2 linked regions of the Drosophila melanogaster genome follow. The protein of the gene in region 2 interacts with the protein of the main gene of each other region in a biochemical or structural test. Each region holds a gene or a part of one and is shown on either strand. Other genes may lie near its edges. The genes, in order: smg and cup.

Region 1 (8,054 bases), on a different chromosome or scaffold from region 2:
AAAAAAACAACTAAAACATAACATATCGAGTGATTGGCTTGCCATTTACATTATAAACAATTGACTAAAGCAAACATAATAGTAATAGTAGAGATAATCTAATCAATGACAATGGTGATCATGATCGGTATGCAATACATGGATTTGGCTTACGCTTAAATATGCAAAATACAATATGTGGTTCCGATTCTCAAACACAAACAGTGAAACATTGAAACTCTTTTCTGTTAAAGTTTAGTCTAGTGGTAGTTTCCGCCGTTGCGATTTCCTCTGGTGCAGTTACGGTTCAGCAAATATGTTCCTTTTAATTTAAAATAAATTATGTGTACGTGTATATATAAACATATTCATTATGTGACTACTACTTCATTCAGCAAGCCTAGTTTTGATTCGCGCAAACAATTATCAGCTCTCGTTTCTCAATTCTCACTTTTCAATTCCCTCTCCATCCAGCTTTCTTCCTTCTAGTTTTTATAGTTGCGAAAAGTAATCTTAGTCAGTCTCATGGTCACGATGCAGAGTTCATTTTATAATTTTTTACTAGATAAACCATTTTTCGTCGTCGTTCAGATCGGGGTATTTCTTTCATTTGGCGACGTTGTTGATAGTGAATGAAATAGTTGATGTTGTGATTGGGGTTTAGAATAGCGTAAAATGTTGATCAAATTTGGCCAAATTTTCCTAGGTAGAGAGAAGTTACTGTATTCTGTTGTTGCGATCTGTGTGTGTGTGTGTTGTGGGGCTTGGCTTGTTAGTTTAACTACATAAATGGCGACAACATTTACGAAACCTATACATTAATAACATTGACAGTAAGATGCCACGCCCCCGCTGACAACCGACATGGGATTACCGTCGGGGAGTGCAGCATGGGCTCCACAAGTTCATCGGCCAGCCGTTGGTCCTGCGAGCCCGAGTCAATTGATCATATCTTTGGGGGCGCCTTGGCATACAGTTAATAAACTTAACATTAAAACAAACTATCGTCTTACTAACTAAAAACGATTACAGAACGGGATGTGAAAGGAGACGCAGGGTGGACAACTTGACGCGACACAAAAATAGACACGAATCTTAAATATCTAAATATAAAAACATTTATGTTCGTTATGAAATCAAACATCAAACACGGCTCAAAGCTAAATGAACACAAAAACAGCTGGCAGCCTCAAATCTAACGCCATTACATGATGATTTCAAAACCCAGATAGCCCTGAATCTTGCTCAGTTCATTGCCTGTTCAGTCATTTGGCGACACAACGTCTCCAGCTGTTCTAGGCTCTTAAAGTCGTTCATCTTGTACTCGGTGACGTGGGGCGACATGCCCAGGCTGCCCAACGGTGACTGGGACAGGCAATGGTCTACGCCATGATTGTTGTTCTTGCTGCTTTGGTGACAGATATTGTGGACACAGGCACCACCACCACCATTGGAGCACAGACAGCTGCCACTGCCCACGGCGGCAGCAGCTGCTGCCAAAAGTTGCAACTGTTGCTGGTTAATCAAATTGTTGTTCAGCATGCTGTTGTTATTATTGTTGTTGATCAGGATCTGGGGCTGATCGTGCTGGTCCTGATTCTGGTTTGGATTACTAACCATCACAACAGCGGCCATGGTCTTCTTTGGTTGTTGCTCCGCACTGGACACTCCTCCGCTAAGTTTTCTCTGCTGCTGCTGCTGCTGCGACTGCTGATTGCGTTCCAATACCAGGTTGTCGTTAGATCCGTTGTTGGTGAGCACTCCCTGACCGGGCTTAAAGATCAATTGCTGCGGTTGCTGCGGACCTCCGGCCACCAGAATAAGATTATTCAGCGACCGGCGATGCGATTGTGGTGGCGTCTGCTGAGGCAGCGCTGGAAAGTGGTTGTGTTGCTGCAACATCTGTTGCATCTGCTGGGGATGATGATGCGACTTACTAGACGGCGGCGGTGGTGGCTGCTGCTGAGGATTACCCATGAAGCTTGGGTACGAGGAGCTCTTGTACTGCGGCTGATGGGATGGACCGCCGCCATAGCCGTTGTAGTCAAACTGTGGCAGAGGCGGCGGAGCCTGCTGCGAATGATGGGGCAGCGGGTGTGGCAGGCAATTTAGCGAAAAGTTTAGCATGTCGTTGGAGTTTTTGCGGTTGTTAATCCTATCGTTGCTGCCATTTTTAGTATCGCATTTGCGAGTCTTACCATTCCATCTAAAATAACAGCTCATTTTTAAAATGCATTACTTTTTATCTTATTGAAAACCTTACCTTGGCTTGTTAATGTTCCCATTGTTTGGCCCGACGCCGGCTGGCTTGACGTGATGCATTTTGGGAACCATGGAGATCTTCATTTTGGACAACTTAAACTTCAGGTCCTTGAGTTGACTGGCGTGATTCATAAATGCCTCGTTGTGGATAGAGCGGTCTAGAATCCACATAAGCACACCCAAAGTCTCGTCGTCTTGGACAGCATACGGATCCTGCTGCAACGTATTGGTCACAATGTCAATGACCTTAAGAAAACGCAGACCAATGTTTTCCTCCGGTGGTCCTGGAGACTCCAGTGGCTTCATTGGTGTCAGCACAATATTTGTTAGCTCCTCAACCGCCGTGCTCAGCTCCATTTGACCCGATAGCAGTTCTTGTTCTACCCGGTTAAGAATATTGGCCCGTTCCTTCAGCTTATCAATGCAAAGGGCAAGCTTGTGGGAGGCGCCCTTGGTGACGCCAACACTCTGCAGAAAGTCCTCGGTGATCAAGAGCATTTCCTCGTACGTCATGTTCTTGAACAGCTCGATGTACTTGTGCAGACGCAAGGATTTTAGCCAGAGTCCGATTCCCGACATGCCCACGTTGCGCGTGTGGAACTTAATATAATTGGGCTTGAATTCATCCAGACGAGTATCGGAACCGCTGTTCATCAAGGCGCCGCGCTGATGCTCAATCGATAAGGAAAAACTACGGGGCTTGTTGGCAAACTGTGCCAGATTCTCCGTTGAATTGGAGCAGTTGTCATTGACCGTGATCACCGATGAGTTAGACGAGCTGGAACAGCTAGAGATCGTTTGCGTGGTGAGGCTGTTAGAGCGCCGCGTCTTCAGGGCTGCAATCTTGCTGTCCAGGCTCCACCGGTTGATCTCTCCAAACTGATCGCCCACGTTTCCCATAAGGATCGAGGCATAGGGAGGAGGCTGAAGCAATTGCTGCTGAAGATTCGGCGGAGGTTGCGATCGATCCTCAACAGGATTTCCACCGTTACGTCCACAAAGGCTACTGCTGGCCAGACTACAGGCCTCACCCATGTCCGCCGTCACCGGGTCAAAATCGAGAATCTCCGTGCCATTCTTGCTAAATGACGTGTCATGATCGTCGCCACCAGCGATTCCCAACATAGAGCCTGCACCAGCGACCACACCGTTGACCAGGGAAGAGCTGCCCTCCAGCGACAGGCCGAGACTGTTCTGACTAGAAGCTAATTCGTTCAGGGTAATACCATTAAGATTATCACAGAGTGGATTGATCGACCCGCTGGAGCTGCCGCCTCCATTGCCACGCCAATCACCGGCCAATTTGTTTTGCAATTGCTTGCTGGGCGGGGCGATCGTTTGCCAGTCGTTGGTGCGTGAGGAACGGCTGCCGCTTGCGGGGCACAACGAGGATGAGGCCACCGACGAACAGGATGCTGTCGAAGAGCTGGTCGCCGAAGAGGAACAGCTACCACTGCCTGTTGAGCTACCACCAGCGACCAGTTGCGGCGAGGGCTGCAGGAAGTAACTGCGATTTGTCAGGCCCGCCGCAGCCGCTTGGATATGATCCTCCAAGTGACGCAGCCAAATGTTGAGCGAACGTCTGTCCTCGCTGGTGATAGCTGGATGGATGAGTAGGTACGAGAAGATCTGCTGCACCAACTCCGTGGGCACAATTTGCTGCATGGTGTCCTTGACGGCAACTGGTATAAGGGTCAGGTAGATAAGCTTGGCCTCCTCATTGCCCGGCTTCAGCAGAGGCAGCATGTTCAGTACTTCATGCAGAATGTCCTCCTTGCGGGCATACAGCTTCCGCTCGTCACACTGCGCCGATGTGGTGATCTGGAAGTCACTGCCGTAGCATGGCATCGAGTCCTTGTCGGACGACGAGGAGGACATGGCGTCGAGCAGGTCACATGGCTGGAACGTCTTGTAGGCGTTGAGTAGATTCTGCAGGTACACCGGATTGTTGGCATTGATGTCAATAACCACGCTGCTCAGATTGGTCTGGGAGGTGCCCAGGTTCTGGGTCAGGTTGCTGTCGATAGAATACTGTAGAAACTTGAGGCTCGGGTAGCGCAGCCGCTTGAGCAGCGCGTACATCACGACGGTTCGCTCGCAGTCGTTCCACTTCTCGAAGAGATTTGTCACTGTGGTCACCTGCTCGCAAAACAGCGCATTGGACGGCTGGCTCTGGCTGGGATTGGCGTTAGAATTGGGATTGCCATTGGCGTATGTCGCCGTCGTCGTGGCCGTTGATGTGGCCTCCTTGTGGGCTGCAGTAGGCGTTGATGTGGTTGGCTGCATCTCGTTGGATGCACTGTTAGAGTTATTGGTTTGGCCGCTGATGCCGGAGGTCATCGCGTTGTCAGTTCCAGTTGCGTACTTCATCTCGTTGTTAGTTGCTTCTTGTTTTTTGGGGATAGTTCTTACTATAGTTTATGGTATTGTATTTGTTACGGCTTCTTTGTGGTTATTTGGTTGCGTTGCTGCAAGTAAAGATAACGGGGTAGGATTAATAATTGAACTATTATGTAAAGCTAAACTTTGTGACTGTGGTAATACAATTTTTTTTATGCTCAATGAGCTGTATCATTCGCTTAAAGCCTAGTTTAGCCCAATCTAATCACTTCCATAGAAAAATACCACAATTCCGAACCACGTGATCCAATCAATAGCTTCTCCCTTATTCCATGGATTTGTCGCCATTGCTCCACTCGGGATTAGAGTGCCGTGCAGCGATAATAAAATAAACTTTAAGCCGCAAATAACGTTCGAATTTAATCAAATCAGTTTTCGCTAATTTGTTAAATTTACAAGCGCAATAGCAACAACAATTATCTGTAATTGACGAATGGAAATTAGCATTTGCTTGGTCGGCTGGCTTATCAGGAAAGCAAATAAACAAGCAACAAATATATAACACCTTCGATTCGCTTTGATGGCGCAAATGACGAGGGACGATAAATCAATAAAATAACAAACATTTCAAATACGAAATCGCTGATTTCGACTTGGCGGCGTTCGGATTTTGATTTCCGGGCGGGAAAGTAGAGCGGGGGCGAGAAGTTTGGTTAGGTTGTATTTTTTTTGCACAGTTTCGCGCTTTTCATTTAGTTTCGTTTGTGCCCATTTCGAATCTTGTTTCTTCTGCCGCCGTTGCTGTTGTTGTTATTATTGCTTTTACTCTGACGACTTTCTTCGATTTTTGTTGCCGTGTTTTCACAGTAAGCACACAAAACATTGAACAAATCAACGCATGGGAGTCAAAAAATTTGAAAATTAAAGTATCTATTTTTTAATGTAAAATGTAGTTTTAAGAGAAATTGCTGCATTTTATTTTTTTATCCTGGTTTACGACATCGAGTGTTGACTGTAATCTAAGCCAGAGACAGTGTAACTGACTGTGTATTGGTACCCCAACTTAAGTTAGTGTGTGTGAGCAAGCAGTAAAACATAACGGGCCCCAATTACTGCATTTAAAGCACATTCACTGCTATGGAATTTACCGATGTTAACTTCTTTGCTATTTAACGTAACGTTTTATATGAAATTTCACATTTCCCTGCGAGACTGGGAGCGCAAAAGAGTCGTTTGGGGCGACTCGATCTAACGGTACTTGTGCATGTCGATCTTTGAGGTTATGCGTCACTGCAATTGCTGTTGTTTTCTAACCGGCTTGCAAATAAAAAAATTACCGAAGTTCAACAAAAGTTCAAAGTTCAAAGATTGCAAGCACGCACACACACGCAAACGTAAAGGATACTGCAAACTCACACGCTCTTATATATTATCGTATTTTGGCTGCCCTTTCAGCAGTCGCGATCACAGGCGCTTGGCATATTCCGAACGCTTTTATTTACATATGTACGTTGCGAATAAATTTGATTATATCTGCAAAACTGCAGATCCAACCACACAGAACAGAAGAATTGGTTTAGCACAGCGAAGCTCAGCTGAAGACGAGAAGCTGCAGTGGGGAGCACCGCGGAGGAGGAGCGGCTGATGGCGAATGATTTGGCGCTGGCGTCAGCGATTTAGAAAGAAAATGGTGGAGCTGCAGAAGCAGCGCAGCGGCAGGCAGAGCGAAACGGGCGAAAAGGAGCGCGCGCCTTTTTTTTCTGACAGGATTGATGCTGATGCTGATGCTGCTACTGCTGTCAAGAAAATGGGGAGAGCACTCACTTACACGCACACACAGACGGAGACCTTGCTGCGCTCGTCGGCAGTGGTATGTGTGCGAGTGAGAGTGACACACTGAGCAATGCACGGGCAAAATTGCGGTAAATTACATGCATTACATTTAAGGGAGAGGGGTGGGGCTCCTGCGGGGTAAGCGGGTTTTGTTGTTTTCACCACACAGAGCAGCAGCGCACAGTACACAGAACACACAAGATTGGCCCCCAAAATCACGCCCCACCCACCTAGCCACGGTCGGCCAGACAACAAAAATATATAGCTACAGTGCGCTTGTGCCAAAATTCGTTCTATTTTTCAATTACCTTTTCGCCTTCTATTCGCCTGCTGCAAACCTTGAAATTATTTTCTGTTGCAATTCACAGTTTTGATTCGATCAGCACGAGAAACGAGCATATTTCGCTAATTTGATATGCTATCGGATCGCGTATTTATTAATTTATAATTTTCACCTTTGCTCGCGCGCGCGTTTGTGTGAGTGCGTATGTGTGTACTTTTTATTAGCACTTTTGGGCTTTAGCGTTGTTGTTTTTGCTAAACCATTACTTTTTTTTAGACACACAATTCATGGCGCTTACGCTCACAAACGCCCGATTACTGAGTACTGCGCACGGTTGCTGTTGCACTTGGTCGGATGCATGTTTCGCCAGCTAATCCATTTTTTCAGCAATTAATTAATTATTTATTCACGCGAACGCAGCGTTGCTAGTGCTGGAACAAAAATCGATGTGTACTCGATACAGTCGATCTTTCTTGCAAGCGGTTATCGGTTACTTTCCCTTGGTGATGGACGCTCAGTTGAGCAGCAAAGCTGCCCTAGGTTCGATGCCGTGCTCATGCAGCGCGGACTCAAACCACGGTTTTAGCTAGAAAATTGCCAACAAAAATGATCTCCGCGCTTTGGCCTATTTCTGTGGTTATTTGACAGTAAGCGGAGACGGTGACACTGTACCACCAATTGGAACAAAATAAGGATATTTTCTTTTTGCATTTTGCTCGATATGCAATGCAGAAAATATCCAGCGAGGCTCTGAATCAAGGCTCTGGGATAGCGTTCAGCTCGAGGAAGTGATTGAAACGATAAATACATCCCGGAACGGCCACAATCCCGACAAAAACAAACGCTCTGGTCAACAACAATACATCATCAACAAAATTCTTTCAACCTGCTGCAGAGCAAAATGTTTGCCCAAAACCAAAAGGCCAGCTTCCTGGAGCAGACAAAGGCGGCGCGGGAGGAGCGGGCACTGGAAAAGCGACGCGAACAGGCGGCCATCCTGCTGCAGTCCACGCTCAAGGGATATGCGGCGCGTAGGAAGTACCAGAAACGAATCATGTAAGTGTCTATCTACTTTTATGGAACATCCTAAATAGTAACCCGTTTTGCAGACTCGATTTCGATGCCATGTTCACTGAGAATCATGACGATAAGGATGCGGAACTGGAACTCGTGGCAAGCAACGTCTATCCGGTGCTTCGTCGCTACCTCACCCAGATCAGGCTGGACAAGAGCGATGTGCGTGCACGGGAGCGTCTGGAGCGCATCTGCCGTTACATCATCAAGGCAATGGAGTCGGAGAACACCAAGCTATCCTATGCCGCCCTCTGTCTTTTTAAGGAACGCAGCCTGCCCTGGA
Region 2 (5,322 bases):
TCTTCTGAGCGATCAGACCGATCCCTTTAACCGCGAACCGCTCACCATGGATAAGGTCAAGTCCAACGAGGCTCTGAAGCAGGAAATTGAGAGCTGGATTCAGGGCAAGCGGGAGGCGGCCCGCTCGAACAGTTGAGGTAGCAGCGAACCCGCAGCTGCTGGCTCAGTTGCCCAACCAAAGAGTTAGCTCCACGGGGATTCGGTTGTTAGGGCAATAATCAATGTTTTTTTGTTCATAAGAATTCCAGTCATACATGGTGGTATGTGTATGTGCAGTTTTATAATTAGTGGTTTTTAAAATGTATTCTTAATCCATTTTTTCCTGTCAACCGAATTAATTAACAAACAATGTGTACGAATAACATGCAAAGGATAAATTATTGTAGTCATATTTGGTTTTGTGTTCACAATATGTTTACATATATGTTTAAATAAACGGCGTTTCGCTGAAAAAATGTGTATATTCAATTAATTCATCAAATGAAAATATCTATAATGCAAATCGACAGCATATGTTTTATTAAATCCAATCTCTAATTGTCTTTTTTCGCTCCATTGGTTTCTACGGCAGATCCATTGTCCATGTCGTGACTTACTGATTCACGGAATCGATTGAAGTAGCGACGACCAGTTAGGTACCACAGCGCCTCGTGATAGCTTCTGGGAAGGATCTCCGGAACTGCTTTGCTGCAGGAGTAGGTCAGGTGCAGCACATTGCACTTAAGCTCCGTAAAGCTATTGCCATCGATTGCATTCACCACCGTCAGCAGCTGAATGTAGTTTTCGTGGGTGAAAACCACGTACGCCTTCAGTTTTATATAGCTATGGACGGGAATGGAATGGGCGAACGTAACGTCCGCAATGAAGCGGATCATGCAACGCTGGTTGGAGTAGAGGGAGGCTGTCATGTAGCTAATCTCGATAGCCTTGCGGATGATGAACCCTCCGAAAATGGTGTTCGATTCGTTTCGGTTCTCCGGGAACGGATGCATCAGGGTTCTGCGGCGCCACGTGGACATCCAGCGGGAATTCGGTGGTAGAGTAGTCATATCACTCGGCGAAGGTCCGTCATCGCCCTTGGTTCGGGTAAATAGCTCGTACATGAGCTGCTGTTCCTCCTTGGTGGGCTGCTGCGACTCCAGGCGATACAACGCTTTGGCACGCTCCTGGTGCCGCTTCTGCGCTTCCTGGTGTAAACTTTCTTCCAGCTCATTGGCCGGCACCAGAGGATTGACAGGAGCAGGGCCATTATTGATGGCATCGCGAGCCTCTACCACAAAAATGCCCTTTGCCAGCAACATTCCGCTTTGTCGCACATATGCCGTGACCTCCATGAAGTTATTGTCCGTATATGAAACGTGACCGGAGAGGGACACATCTGCATCCGCAATAAACTTGTCTTGCAAGAAGTGGGCGTGGTCCACCAGCATGGTGATAAAAGTGTATGGCAGCGGCACACCCTCCGGCAGATTGGGCAGATGGATGTGAAGATGGCAGATCCACACTGCAAGGCCACTCTCATTAATCAGGTATTTGGAGTAGTTAGTTAGTATACTTTACTTACTTACCTGCAAGAAGGTCAAGTTCCTCAATTATCCTGCCCATGCGAAGCAAGCCTCGCCCGTAAACGAATCGTTGCCTCAACAGAGCATCTGTTTCCAGGAGCACCTGGGCAGTCGTTTGTGAGTCCAGCATGGAGCGATTGGGCAGTTCGTCTTGCTTCGGCTGAAACTTGAGCAGTCCATCCCGGCTCTTGGGAATGATGTGGTAGCCTCCTTCCACGCCGACGTGCTCACGGATTTTCTTCGCCACTGTGCTTGGTATTGGGAGTTGGATAAGTGGACGATAATGTGGAGGTTTACCCGCGGTTACCATCTGCCATCGTGCCCGAGCGGTGCCCCGAATCCAGCAGCTCCCTCCCGGATTCCATGAACGAGTGACGAATTGCACCCAGTTGGTGCCACGGGTGTCGCACGGCGATCACCCTTCTGCCAAAGTGCTGGCTCAAATTCATTTAAATTTTGGGTTTGTGTGCTCCGCTATATTCATATGTATAGTTGTCAAATAATAAGATACAGTACGTTAAAATCGTTTGCACTTAATTTTTTAAATTTGTAACAGAATAACGGCTTTTATGTAATCGAAATCTTAAGAATCACAAGTACTAGTTTCCAAAGTTATCACGTTCCAGGCTTAGCTACTTTCTGTTGTCAAAAGTAAATGTCGTAGCGCATTATTAATAAATTCGCTGTTTTGTTTAGGAATCAAAGAATTAACTATTTGAAAGCTGTATAAGTCGCAGATCAGTGTTTGTCAACACTGGTCAATCCATCCTCCATCTTCCACCATTCGCTTTCGGTATTTTTTCCTATTCCTGTCCTGCTTACTCATCGTAGCAGCGCCGAATAACGGATCCTAAGATCGAACGAACCTGTGCTAAACGTGATTTCGTTCAATTTCTCATACATTTCAATATATTTGACCCGATCAAAAGTACTCGTTTTAAGTTTTAACCAAAAAAAAAACCAACAATTAGTGAGTATGGACCCTATGAAAGAGGAGGCGATCGAATTGAATGGCCATGCTATGCAAATGGCCGAAGCTGAGCAAGAAAATGGCGCTGGCGCCCTGAAAATTGCCACCAATGCGGGTGCAACCGATCGTCCAGCGCATCAGCAGCTTCCGCTGCCAGTCGAAGATCAGCAGGATGAGGTGCTGACCCCCGCTGAGAAGGGCAAGTTCGAGTACCCGCCCCCTCCACCGCCACCAACTCCAGTCCAGGCTCCGCTAGCCACCAAGGCCACCGCTCTGAATGCCAGTCAAGAGCATGACGACGACGAGGCCAACTCCGAGAAGTGGGAGGATCCGTGCGCTCCGCCCCCGCCTCCTCCGCTGCCGACTAGCGCTTTCCTGGCCACCGGACTGGGCTACCTCAAGCTGCCCGCCTTCAAGCTGAAGGACGCACTGGAGAAGGCCATCACCAAGTTGGAGGCCAACAAGCGGACGCTAAAGGCCAGCCCTGAGGTGAGTTCATTACATATAACATTTTTAATTTTATTATTAGCAGTGCACACTGTTGTCAGATTATATATTTATATTGAAATACATTTTAAATTTAACTTTTCTTGAGTCAAACTTGATATTAGTCTAAAATCTTCGCAATATTTATTGGCCAACAAAGCACAGTATTAAACACGTAAATGGTATTAGGAATCAGAGCAGCTCTGATACAAATGTCGTTAAAAATTTAGTTAAAGAAACTTTGACTTGGCATTCATATATTCGACACTTATTTTACATCGAGTACAGACAGGCACTCTCATATATCATGAAGTTTTTTCAATGTTGTTTTTATTTTGGCAAACAGTCTTCTCGTTCCATCAAAAACAAGAATGTGGTGGCCCTGGAGATGTTACCCAGGCGCTCAAACCCAGAAACGATCGGCGATGGATCCATGTTGGCATCCACATCCACGGCTGTTATGCTGCAGACCAAAAAGCCCGCCGTTATTGTGGAGATGGAGAGGCGTTGTAAGATCATCAATTTACTGGCCAAACAGAATCAAATCCTCGAATCCATTTCGGGGGAGGCCATTCCGATGCATGGACCCTCGAAGCATCTGCACGAGGACGAGGGTCTGACCCTGCAAGTTCTCTCGGCCCGAGCATCCACACCGTACACACAGCCCTCCAGCATGTTGTCCTGCACGGCCGTTAGTTGTGACCTGGAGCACGATTCGCCGCGGAAGCAAGTGGCCAGCAAGGAGGCCGTGCCGGAGCAGCAGTCTAGTCAGGTGCAGCAAAAGCGTCCACCCAGCACAGGCATTCACAAGCCAGGAAGTCTGCGAGCACCCAAGGCTGTTCGTCCTACTACTGCTCCGGTGGTCAGCAGCAAGCCGGTCAAGAGCTATACCCGCTCCCGCCTGATGGACATTCGCAACGGGATGTTCAATGCCCTGATGCACAGGTCCAAGGAGAGCTTTGTGATGCCTCGCATCGCCACCTGCGACGACATTGAGTTGGAGGGAAGGCTTCGCCGCATGAATATTTGGCGCACCTCGGACGGCACAAGATTCCGGACCCGCTCCACCACAGCTAACTTAAACATGAACAACAACAACAACAATGAGTGCATGCCTGCCTTCTTCAAAAACAAAAATAAGCCGAACCTAATCAGTGACGAGTCCATCATCCAGAGCCAACCGCCCCAGCCGCAAACGGAGTTCCAAGTAAGCTAGTTAAACTTATACTATTCTACTCAATTTTGCCATATATTCTATATAAAATAGACTTGGTTAGCTTAATGGAAAACTTATGATTTGAAAAGGAAAAAGTGATTGTGACAGTGCGGTAATTGTTACAGTTACACATGGCGTCGATTCATTTGAGTACCTCGACCATCTGATACCCCTTCCTTTGTAGGCCAAATTGTCTTTTTGGTCTGCTCAGAAAAGCTCTTTTATGAAAAATCATATTTCCCGCCTTTTCTGCTTAGAAAAAATCGCTTAATCGATTAAGAACATTTTCCCCACTTTTGCATTAGGTAACACAAAGTCGCATTATTCCTGAGCTTATCTGATAAATCAATGATTGCATTGCATGACCTCCAGAGGTCTTTGGCAATCATGCTGATCATTGGCTGGACCCTCGCCACAGTCAAATCACTAATCTAGAACATTTTACAACTGATTGCGAATAAGTATGAAGTAATTACTACAGTCGTATTAGACTATTTCCTTTTATTGAATTCTAAACCATCTGGGATTCTACAAATACCCTCGAGCGAAATCACTTCTCTAGATAATGACACTTTCCATCGACCTCCCGCAACCTTTGGGCTGCCTGTTCGGGAGTCAGATCCCGCTGGGCCATGGCCAGCAGCTCAAATCCCACCATGAACTTGCGCACGGAGGCAGAACGAAGCAGCGGCGGATAGTAGATGGCGTGCAGGGTCCAATGAGCACTGGATGCGTGGGCATGCTCCGGCCCAGTCGGTGCTCCATGCCAACCCATCGAGTAGGGGAATGAACACTGGAACAGATTGTCATACTTGGTGGTCAGCTCCTTTATGGTCAGCGCCAAGTTGTATCGCTGTTCTGCGGTAAGATCATTGATCCGCTTATTGTTGTTGCGTGAGATGAGCATGGTTTCGAAGGGCCAAGTGGCCCAGAAGGGCACCACCACCAACCAGTCGCGATTCTCAATGACAATCCGCTCCTGGCGCTGCAGCTCACGCTCCACATAGTCGGCCAGCATGGGCCGCTCGTTGGTGGCGTAGTAGGCACGCAGACGCTCCTGCTTCAGTTGCGGTTCCGTCGGCAGA

The links.
Region 1: the proteins of cup (region 2) and smg form a complex in vitro, tested with the Drosophila melanogaster proteins (one study listed by BioGRID).

What each region holds. Positions count from the first base shown.
Region 1 is NT_037436.4:8,990,857-8,998,910, forward strand, and holds the start of smg (smaug), read right to left. Parts: upstream 6,239-8,054; 5' UTR 5,998-6,238; intron 5,716-5,997; exon of another isoform or gene 5,626-5,715; intron 5,394-5,625; exon of another isoform or gene 5,206-5,393; intron 5,062-5,205; exon of another isoform or gene 4,867-5,061; intron 4,710-4,866; 5' UTR 4,612-4,709; coding exon 2,243-4,611; intron 2,186-2,242; coding exon 1,225-2,185; 3' UTR 1,188-1,224; intron 682-1,187; coding exon of another isoform or gene 640-681; 3' UTR 1-639. Other genes in the region: CG5087 (uncharacterized protein), read left to right, coding at 7,599-7,753, 7,807-8,054. UniProt on the Drosophila melanogaster protein: Translation regulator that binds to the 3'-UTR of specific mRNAs such as nanos (nos) and prevents their translation. Prevents translation of unlocalized nanos in the bulk cytoplasm via the recruitment of cup.
Region 2 is NT_033779.5:6,661,564-6,666,885, forward strand, and holds the start of cup (cup), read left to right. Parts: upstream 1-2,100; 5' UTR 2,101-2,586; coding exon 2,587-3,024; intron 3,025-3,367; coding exon 3,368-4,228; intron 4,229-4,700; exon of another isoform or gene 4,701-4,787; coding exon of another isoform or gene 4,788-5,322. Other genes in the region: Ube4A (ubiquitination factor E4A), read left to right, coding at 1-136; CG13771 (uncharacterized protein), read right to left, coding at 534-1,504, 1,569-1,811, 1,873-2,014; Galt (Galactose-1-phosphate uridylyltransferase), read right to left, coding at 4,788-5,322. UniProt on the Drosophila melanogaster protein: Adapter protein that plays a central role in localization of transcripts in the oocyte and in young embryos. Maintains RNA targets in a repressed state by promoting their deadenylation and protects deadenylated mRNAs from further degradation.